Linked DNA regions of Oreochromis niloticus. The protein of the gene in region 2 interacts with the protein of the main gene of each other region in a pairwise test. Links are inferred from orthologs where the notes say so. Each region holds a gene or a part of one and is shown on either strand. Other genes may lie near its edges.

Region 1 (3,922 bases), on a different chromosome or scaffold from region 2:
AAGTACGAGCTAGGTGGACGGCTAACATTAGCCTAGCAACTCTAAGCGGTTTTAGCTGGTTAATAATGCATGTCGCTACGCCACTAAATGGTATTATAAATTAAGGATCAGGAACAGTTTGAGTGTTTTGCAGACTCTTGCTAACAATACTGGCAGAATTAGCAACCCAGCGTTAAACAGCGCTATAAGACTATGCAACTTTAGTGTGGCGATAACCAAGGCTGTAAACAAACCAACCTTCCTGAGTGGTTGCTCGCAAAGAGAAGTGCTTTACCTTGTATCCTGTCAGACTTGGTTGTTAGCCACAGACTTCTCTCTGCAGATACTGCTCAGCTCAAACGTTGTGTGCCCACTGATTGGGTTAAACGAGGTAAGACCAAAGCAAAGCGAGATGAAAATCCTCTAGACAGTCAGATCGAGTCCTCCGCCTCCCCGATTCTGTTATTCCGAGGACTCCTTTTGGTGAACCGAGGTCCCCTTTATTGTGTCATGCTGCCACGCCATGTCTCTTGAACATTTTCACTCACCCTCCCAGTCCCTTCGCTCTCCATTTCAACCGCCTGAATCCCTTTGCTTTCTTTTCTCTCTCTCAGTAAGCACCAATGAGCAAGGTAAAAGTAGTTCCGGTAGCAAAAATTTCAAAATAAAAGTTGTCGACTAGGCTGTTATGTTTTTCAGGAACAAGGGTGTGCAGAGCTGCCATGAGGTGTGATAGATGGAGTCAAGATGGGGTCGGATTACATTAGGGATCAGCTCTGAGCCCTTTCTTGTTTGCAATGATGACGACCGACAGGTCAGGCAGGAGTCTCCGTGGAACAATATGTTTCCAGATGACATGATCTGTAGTGAGCCTGGTCAAGTGGAGGTATGCTCTGCAGATGGAAAGTCAGTACAAACAAAACAGAATACATGTGTGTGAATGAGAAGGAAACTGCTTTGTGGAAACAGTGAAGCTGCAAAAAGCAGATGAAGTGAAGGTAGATAAGTTTAAATACCTGAGATCAACCATGCAAAGCAATGTGCAGTGTACAGGGGAGGTAAAGAAGGGAGTTCAGAAGTGTCAAGAGTGATTTTGAGATAAAGATGGCAGCAAGAGTGAAAAGGAAGGTTTACGAGATGCTATGGTGTATAGTTTGGAGATGGTGACACCAATAAAAAGACACGAGCTGAATACGCTAGATTTTCACTGGGACTGACCAGGATGGACATGACTAGAAAGAAGTACATCACAAGGACAGCTCAGGTTGAGCGATTTGGAGACAAATGCAAAGCAAAGCTGGCATGGCTTGGACATGTGCAGGGGAGGCACAGTGGATATACTGGACAAAGGATCTTGGACATGGAGCTGCCAGTCAGGAGGAGATGAGGAAGACAACAGACAAAGTTCTTGGAGAACATGGAGAGTGTTGGTGTGACAGAGGAGGATGAGGGATAGGGTCAGATGGAGGCAGATGATCCACTGTGGCGACCCCTGTATTGAGCAGCCAAAAGAGGTAGAACAAAAATAGACCACTATGGGAACATTTTGTGTAAGGGAGCAAAATTATGTGGAATTTAATTGACCTATACCTCCAGTGTAATTTCTTATGGTGTGTCTGATTACTCACATATATACCGCACTGCAGACATGAGCTTATTTTACAATATCCAGACTGTTAACACGGTAGTTTTATGTCATATTTTAAACTTATGGAAAACGCACACTCATAAGCTAAGATAACCGTTCAGTATATTCCAACATGTGGACAGCATTTGATTTTCTATAGTTTTTAAAAATGTATTTCTGTATGTATGATATGCAGTGTAGAAAAAACACCAAATGATAATTGGTGCGCTTTCCTTAAAATCAAACACACATTTCTATATATCTGTTGATTTAAACTGAAAAGTTTGCCTAGCATAAACCGCTATTTTCAAAAACAAAATACGCCCAACTTCCGGTCGTCGGGTACCCTTTCAGGTAGCTTGACGCATCATCCCCGGCTTCTTGTTTTCAGCACTGTATACAGTATTTGCTTGAAGCTGCGATGCTGCCACTACGCGGACAGTCACGTACATGTCACCTGGACTGTCTATAACAGTTCATGAAAGCTCTGTGCAGTTTTTAACCCACTGGCGGTGCTAATTTACTCACTCGGGAGCCGAAAACCGGGTCGCCGGTGTGAAGCTGCTATTTTGTCGCTGCGACCTTCGGTTATTTCAGAGTGACGCTGCTCATTTGAACTCAGGAGGGTTTGTGTGCAAAGTGTCCGCTTTTCTGCGGCACAACAGCGGCTGGCGGAGCAGTCTAGGGACACGCACACATCCACCGGTTTTTTTCCACGGTGTGCGTATACTGTCTGGCTCCCAGCACGGTTGTCCTCAGATGGCCGTTCATCTCACAGGCAACTGACGGCCGTGACGCAGAGGCACGTGCAGCACGAACGAGGATGTGAACACTCGTCCGCGCGAACCTGCTCTCTATTTTAACCGTAGTCCTGCATAATATTAAAAACAGCGCTAGCAAAAGCAAAGACGGGGTGGAGTTTCCCCCATCGCTAGCAAAATAAGTGGGTTGGACGCTGAGGAGCATAAAAAAATAGTCTGGGCCCTGTCTCCTCTTTAGTACCTTGTTTGATTTGGACACTTAATTAAAGCTTTCCCATCTTTGATCGGTTTGTTTAAAATATAGACTGCAACACAGGAGCTGGTGTTAAAGGAAGTGTAAATAAAGTGGGTCATATTTTTGAGGGGGATAAACATGTAGTCTGCTACTGATTGTGTTTGCAGACCTCGTATTTCACTGAAAGCAAGGATGCTACTGACCCAAGCCTGTCCCAAAAAGCACCCCCACCCCTTATTGGTTGTTCTCTGTTGCTATGGTACCAGACATCGGATGCTGAAGCTTCATGCGCGACATCTGTGTTGGTGCAGCAGGAAGTGGTGGAGTGGAGTGATGGAGAGTGTAACTTGGTGACTAATGAGGCTGACTTTCACTCAGTGTGAGTGTTTGTGTTTATGACTCATGTTTTGGGGAACATAAATCTGTTTACAGTCACATTGTGTGGACCTTCCTCTCTTGTGTGCAAATCATTGAACTATGACTGTGTGTGCGTGCATGAGTGTCTGTAATGGAAAAAAAGCCCAGAAAAGATCCTCCTCCAAATCATCAAAGGAACCTGTCAGCAAAGGTATAATCAGTATAATGAACTAGGTTTCCTAATGAGAAACATTCATAAGAAAGTGTGTCCATCTGAGCAGTCCTTATTCACAAGTAAGGTCAAAAATATGCAAAGTAGCTTTCTATAAACGTACACCTGCACTCATTTAAAGGTTCATTAAGTACACTGAAACACATGCAACACATATTGCCTCTGATTAGCCACCCACATCTTTTCTCTCAAGTAATCTCACCATTGGGGTAGAGCAGGCTGTCTATTAATCAGAAGGTCAGTAGTTCAATTCCCAGCTACTCCAGTCTTCTTGGGGATGATATTGAAACCTAGTGCATCCACTGGAGTGTGCAAATGTTAGACAGGGTGTGCTTAGGTGTAGAAAAAAGCACTTGTAAGAATTTGTGTGTGACTGGGAGAATGAGGCTTCTAGTAAAATGCATTTTGAGTGCTCCGAGTAGAAAAGCACTATATACAGCCATCATCCAGTGGTTTCTGATGGGTTTCACATGCTGATTATTAGAAGAAATATTCCTCATTGAGGGAAAAGATGATCATCCTGTATGTATTTCCATGTAACCCTTAACCAGACCCAATTTGTAAACCGACAGAGGGACGTCTTCACTACAAAGTTTCTTTATGTAACTCCACACTCAAAAATAAAAAGGGACAAACATTTTATTCTCTTGCAAGTTTTCCTCTTTTTTCTAAAAACAAACCATCCATCAAATATTGCACAGTAAAAACAATGTGAAAAAAGTACATCATTA
Region 2 (3,922 bases):
GCTTTCTGGACTTTTGTCTTTTACTTGTCTACTTTTCAACTTCTGCTCCTTTGTCAATGAGCTGAGAGAGAGCAAGTCTGCAGAGAAGTTGGATAGTGGGTCATACTCCAAATCAGTCCTCGGTTTTGAGTTGTCAACCACATACTTCTTTCCTCGCTGGTGTGCTTTAGTAAAATCTGTGCGAGACGATGGCCCATAAGCTTTTCTGTCTACAGTTTTACTCCCAGACTCACGCTTGGAAGCAGGCGTGTTGTTTATGCGGTCTGCCTGTACAGTCTGGTAGCGTGACAGTCGCCTCCGCTCTTGCTCCACCTCATGCCTTACAGATTCAATCTCCTTGTTGATCCGCTCCAGCTCATGAAGGCAGTCATCTCCACAGCCCGTATAAGGCCTCTGTCCTTCTGTTCAACGTGAACATGAAATAGGATAAGTATTTACTTAAATGTAAGTGGCAGCTTGATCATTTGCAGTTTAGTTTTTAAGCAGTTTTTGTGCTATATGATGTGTGAAGATCCTATCGTGCCCCTTTAATGAGAAAGTAGAACTCAGGAAAACAAGGTAGAAGGTAGTTTTTTTTAAGAAAACACTTGTCCTTACCTGCAGTTACAATAATGTGCTTAATTTTTATGTTACACCTGTAACTTTAAAAACCCTCTTAATCGATTTAAAAGCTTCTTATAATTCCCAGGGTTTATGGGGGTTTTCTTAAACAATTAAACCCTTTTAACAGGTAAAACAGCAAGCTAATGCACAAGTGTTCGAAGTCAGTTGGCATAGTTGAAGCACTCACCTGTGAAGTCCACTTTGGATGATTCAAATGAGACAGCAAACCAGTCCCGCGCCTGCTTTGCAGGATGTTTGTATAAACAGTGAGGCCGCTCACAACGCCCATGTTGTGAGAAGGGGCAGTTTATACCGGCAAAAAAGCCCGAGGAGGGAAACATTAGCCACTTCGCGCAATTTTTTTCGCAGTTTTTTTTTTTTTTTTTTATAATTAACGAACGGACGTTAGCAGTTGGAGCCTCCAAATTAACGTCAGGTGACGTCAGCCTCGTTTATATAGGTTCTGCTCAGGTCGCGTGACGACTGTTGAAAAACTCATTTTAATACCCTCAAATAACACATTATTCCGTAACATTTAAAAATTTTGATTTTATTTATTATGTTTGCAAATTTAAAAAAAAAAATGCATTTATAGAAACTTTTTTTTGTAGTTGCTGCGTTGCAGTAACCCCTCCACGTCGAGAGACGGCAACGTTGCACGTAACTGAATTGGGACCTACAATGAAAGAACTATTACGACAACAACAGCAGCAGTAGTCGTAGCAGTCTATATTTCTGCAAAATTTATTAAATTTGCGAGTTTTGAGATGGAAAACAGCGAGGATGAGGAGGATGAAAACGAGTGGAGGAACAGTTTCGTGGATTCATCGACACATAGCCCCCCTGCGGCTGCTGCTTCAGGTAAACTTGGAGACTTAAGCTAGGCAGTCTGAAACTGAAATCTGACAGTTGCTCTTTGCTTTCATATGACTTTCAGAGTTCGAGATATGGTAACTGTTGTACATATAATGTGTGTTTCAGGACCAAGCATCAGTAAAACGCCAGTACCTGCACACAGAGTCATTTTGCATTTTGACCTGGACTGCTTCTATGCTCAGGTGGAAATGATCAGAAACCCTGCACTGAGAGAAGTCCCGTTAGGTAAACTCGCATGCTATAAAAGCTGCAAAAGACAAAAGTGTAAAAAATATTTGTGCCAAAGCTTCTAAATGACTCTCATATCATCAGGTATACAGCAGAAGTACATCATAGTGACCTGTAACTATGTGGCAAGGGAGAGGGGTGTCAACAAGCTTATGTCTGTGACTGATGCTAAGGAGAAATGTCCTGAGCTGGTGCTGGTTAAAGGAGAAGACCTCACGCACTACAGAGAGATGTCATATAAAATGACAGGTAAGCAGTGCATCACACCAGTGTGACGTGACAACAGTGCTCTGTAGTAAATAAAGTAATTTTTTTTGTCGTAGTGTGCAGTATGACATTAAAGTGCACTCTGAGAAAATGTAATTGTAGTTGCTACAATAAAAGAAGCTTGGAAGATCAGACCAAGTGCTAAAAATGGAGATTAGGGTCGCACCATAGCAATCAGGTTGGACTTTGGTCCACTGCAGCATCTTAATTCTTTTCTTTTTCAGCCATTCTGCTGTAGATTTTCTTTTCAGGTTCTGTGGCTGCAAAACAAGCCCAGATTAGCACCATGCTTGACAGCTGGTATAAGGTGTTTGCGCTAATATGCTGTTTCTTTGATTTACAGCCAAATATTTCCACTTTGGCTTTGAAAAAAAAAAGTCATCCTTGATTTGTGCTGAATGCTTTTTATAGAGGTGGTCACACTTGCTGATGAAAAAATAATCACCTGCATTTGATTTGCAGCACCTGGCTGGTACTTTACCCTCTTAATTCCTATGGAGGTATTCATGTGGTGGTATGCTTAGTTTTTTACAGGGCTACATAGAGTCCTGTAAAAACTTTTCACATGACTGAGAGATGTGGGTAACAAGAGGGCCTTGCTGTAACTTCTTTTGACTAGCCATTTATGCCAGATGGTGACATGACCCTTAAAGTTTATCTGGGATGCCGTTTTTCTCCGGTGACTAGTGTTTGTTTCTATGACATGGACTTATTTTCAGCTTGTAGCAAGCAAATTAAATAGTGAGCTGCTTAAAGCAACAAGGTATCAAATTTTGGAGTCGGTCTCTTAAAGAAAATCATGATTTGGGCAACTTTTAAATGCCACAATTCATAATAAAAACAACCCTTTTTGACTCAACTGCTAAAATCTCCCATTTCTACATTTCAGCATTTGTTTTCCTCAAGAATGTAAACAGTTTTTAACCCACTGTTTGGTTCACCACCCTCCTGGTGTTCCTGGGTGGTTACTAGAAACTAAATGGAGTAAATGGAATTGATGTTTTCATCTGATAACCGTTTGTATATATTTACCTTTTCTCGTTTGCCATCCAGAGCTGCTGATGTCTTATTGTCCTCTCGTGGAAAGGCTTGGATTTGATGAAAACTTCATGGACGTCACTGAGATGGTAGAACAAAGGCTTGCACAGACAGTGAAGTCTGAAGACTTTTCATTTAAAGGACACGTCTACAATCATCCAAGTAAGTCACATTCGTGCTTCTCAAGTGTAGATGTACATCTGGCCCACTGAAACTGGGAAATGGCTCGTGAAAATAGCTCAAACTCGTGAGATATTTGCATAGTGCTTTCAGTTTCGTTCTTCATGAACAGCTCACCTGCAGATCCTAAACTGTATCACGTGTGCTCATACCCACAGTTTTTCCCCTTCCTGTTCAGGTGCAGATGTTAAAGCCAGTAACTACCCAAGGTTGGCTTTAGGTTCACACATTGCAGGAGAGCTCAGAGAAGCCGTCCATAGCAAACTGGGCCTGACCGGCTGTGCTGGCATCGCCACAAACAAGCTGCTAGCCAAACTGGTTTCAGGCACCTTCAAACCCAACCAGCAAACCACTCTGCTCCCAGAAAACATCAGTGACATCATGGGCTGCCTAGGCAGTGTCCGCAAAGTGCCAGGTATAGATGCTCTAAAAGATAGTTAATCATCAGTAGATGGTAGGTAGGTGAACAGAAGTACATAACATGATATGCATCGAGAAACCCGTGTGGTGTCCTCGGGATTCCCATATACTTGTTTGCCATTCACCTAGGGACCATTTTTGACCCGAGGACACCACAAGGGTTACGTTTTAATGACTTATAGTTGTTACACTGTTGTCCTTAACATTTGGAGCATTTTTAAAGATGCTTTCATCCAAAACTCACTGATGCATTTTTGTTGTGTCTCACATGTGTTAAGTATGTCTGATGATATATTTTGTGGTGCCATCT

The links.
Region 1: the proteins of poli (region 2) and rev1 interact in a two-hybrid assay, tested with the Homo sapiens proteins (2 studies listed by BioGRID). The link is inferred for Oreochromis niloticus from reciprocal best matches to the Homo sapiens genes POLI and REV1.

What each region holds. Positions count from the first base shown.
Region 1 is NC_031987.2:21,426,598-21,430,519, forward strand, and holds the start of rev1 (DNA repair protein REV1), read right to left. Parts: upstream 2,679-3,922; 5' UTR 2,135-2,678; intron 873-2,134; 5' UTR 275-872; intron 1-274. UniProt on the Homo sapiens protein: Deoxycytidyl transferase involved in DNA repair. Transfers a dCMP residue from dCTP to the 3'-end of a DNA primer in a template-dependent reaction.
Region 2 is NC_031977.2:28,645,472-28,649,393, reverse strand, and holds the start of poli (DNA polymerase iota), read left to right. Parts: upstream 1-1,173; 5' UTR 1,174-1,370; coding exon 1,371-1,464; intron 1,465-1,584; coding exon 1,585-1,704; intron 1,705-1,791; coding exon 1,792-1,956; intron 1,957-3,027; coding exon 3,028-3,174; intron 3,175-3,370; coding exon 3,371-3,607; intron 3,608-3,922. Other genes in the region: RNA exonuclease 1 homolog, read right to left, coding at 1-401, 791-944. UniProt on the Homo sapiens protein: Error-prone DNA polymerase specifically involved in DNA repair. Plays an important role in translesion synthesis, where the normal high-fidelity DNA polymerases cannot proceed and DNA synthesis stalls. Favors Hoogsteen base-pairing in the active site.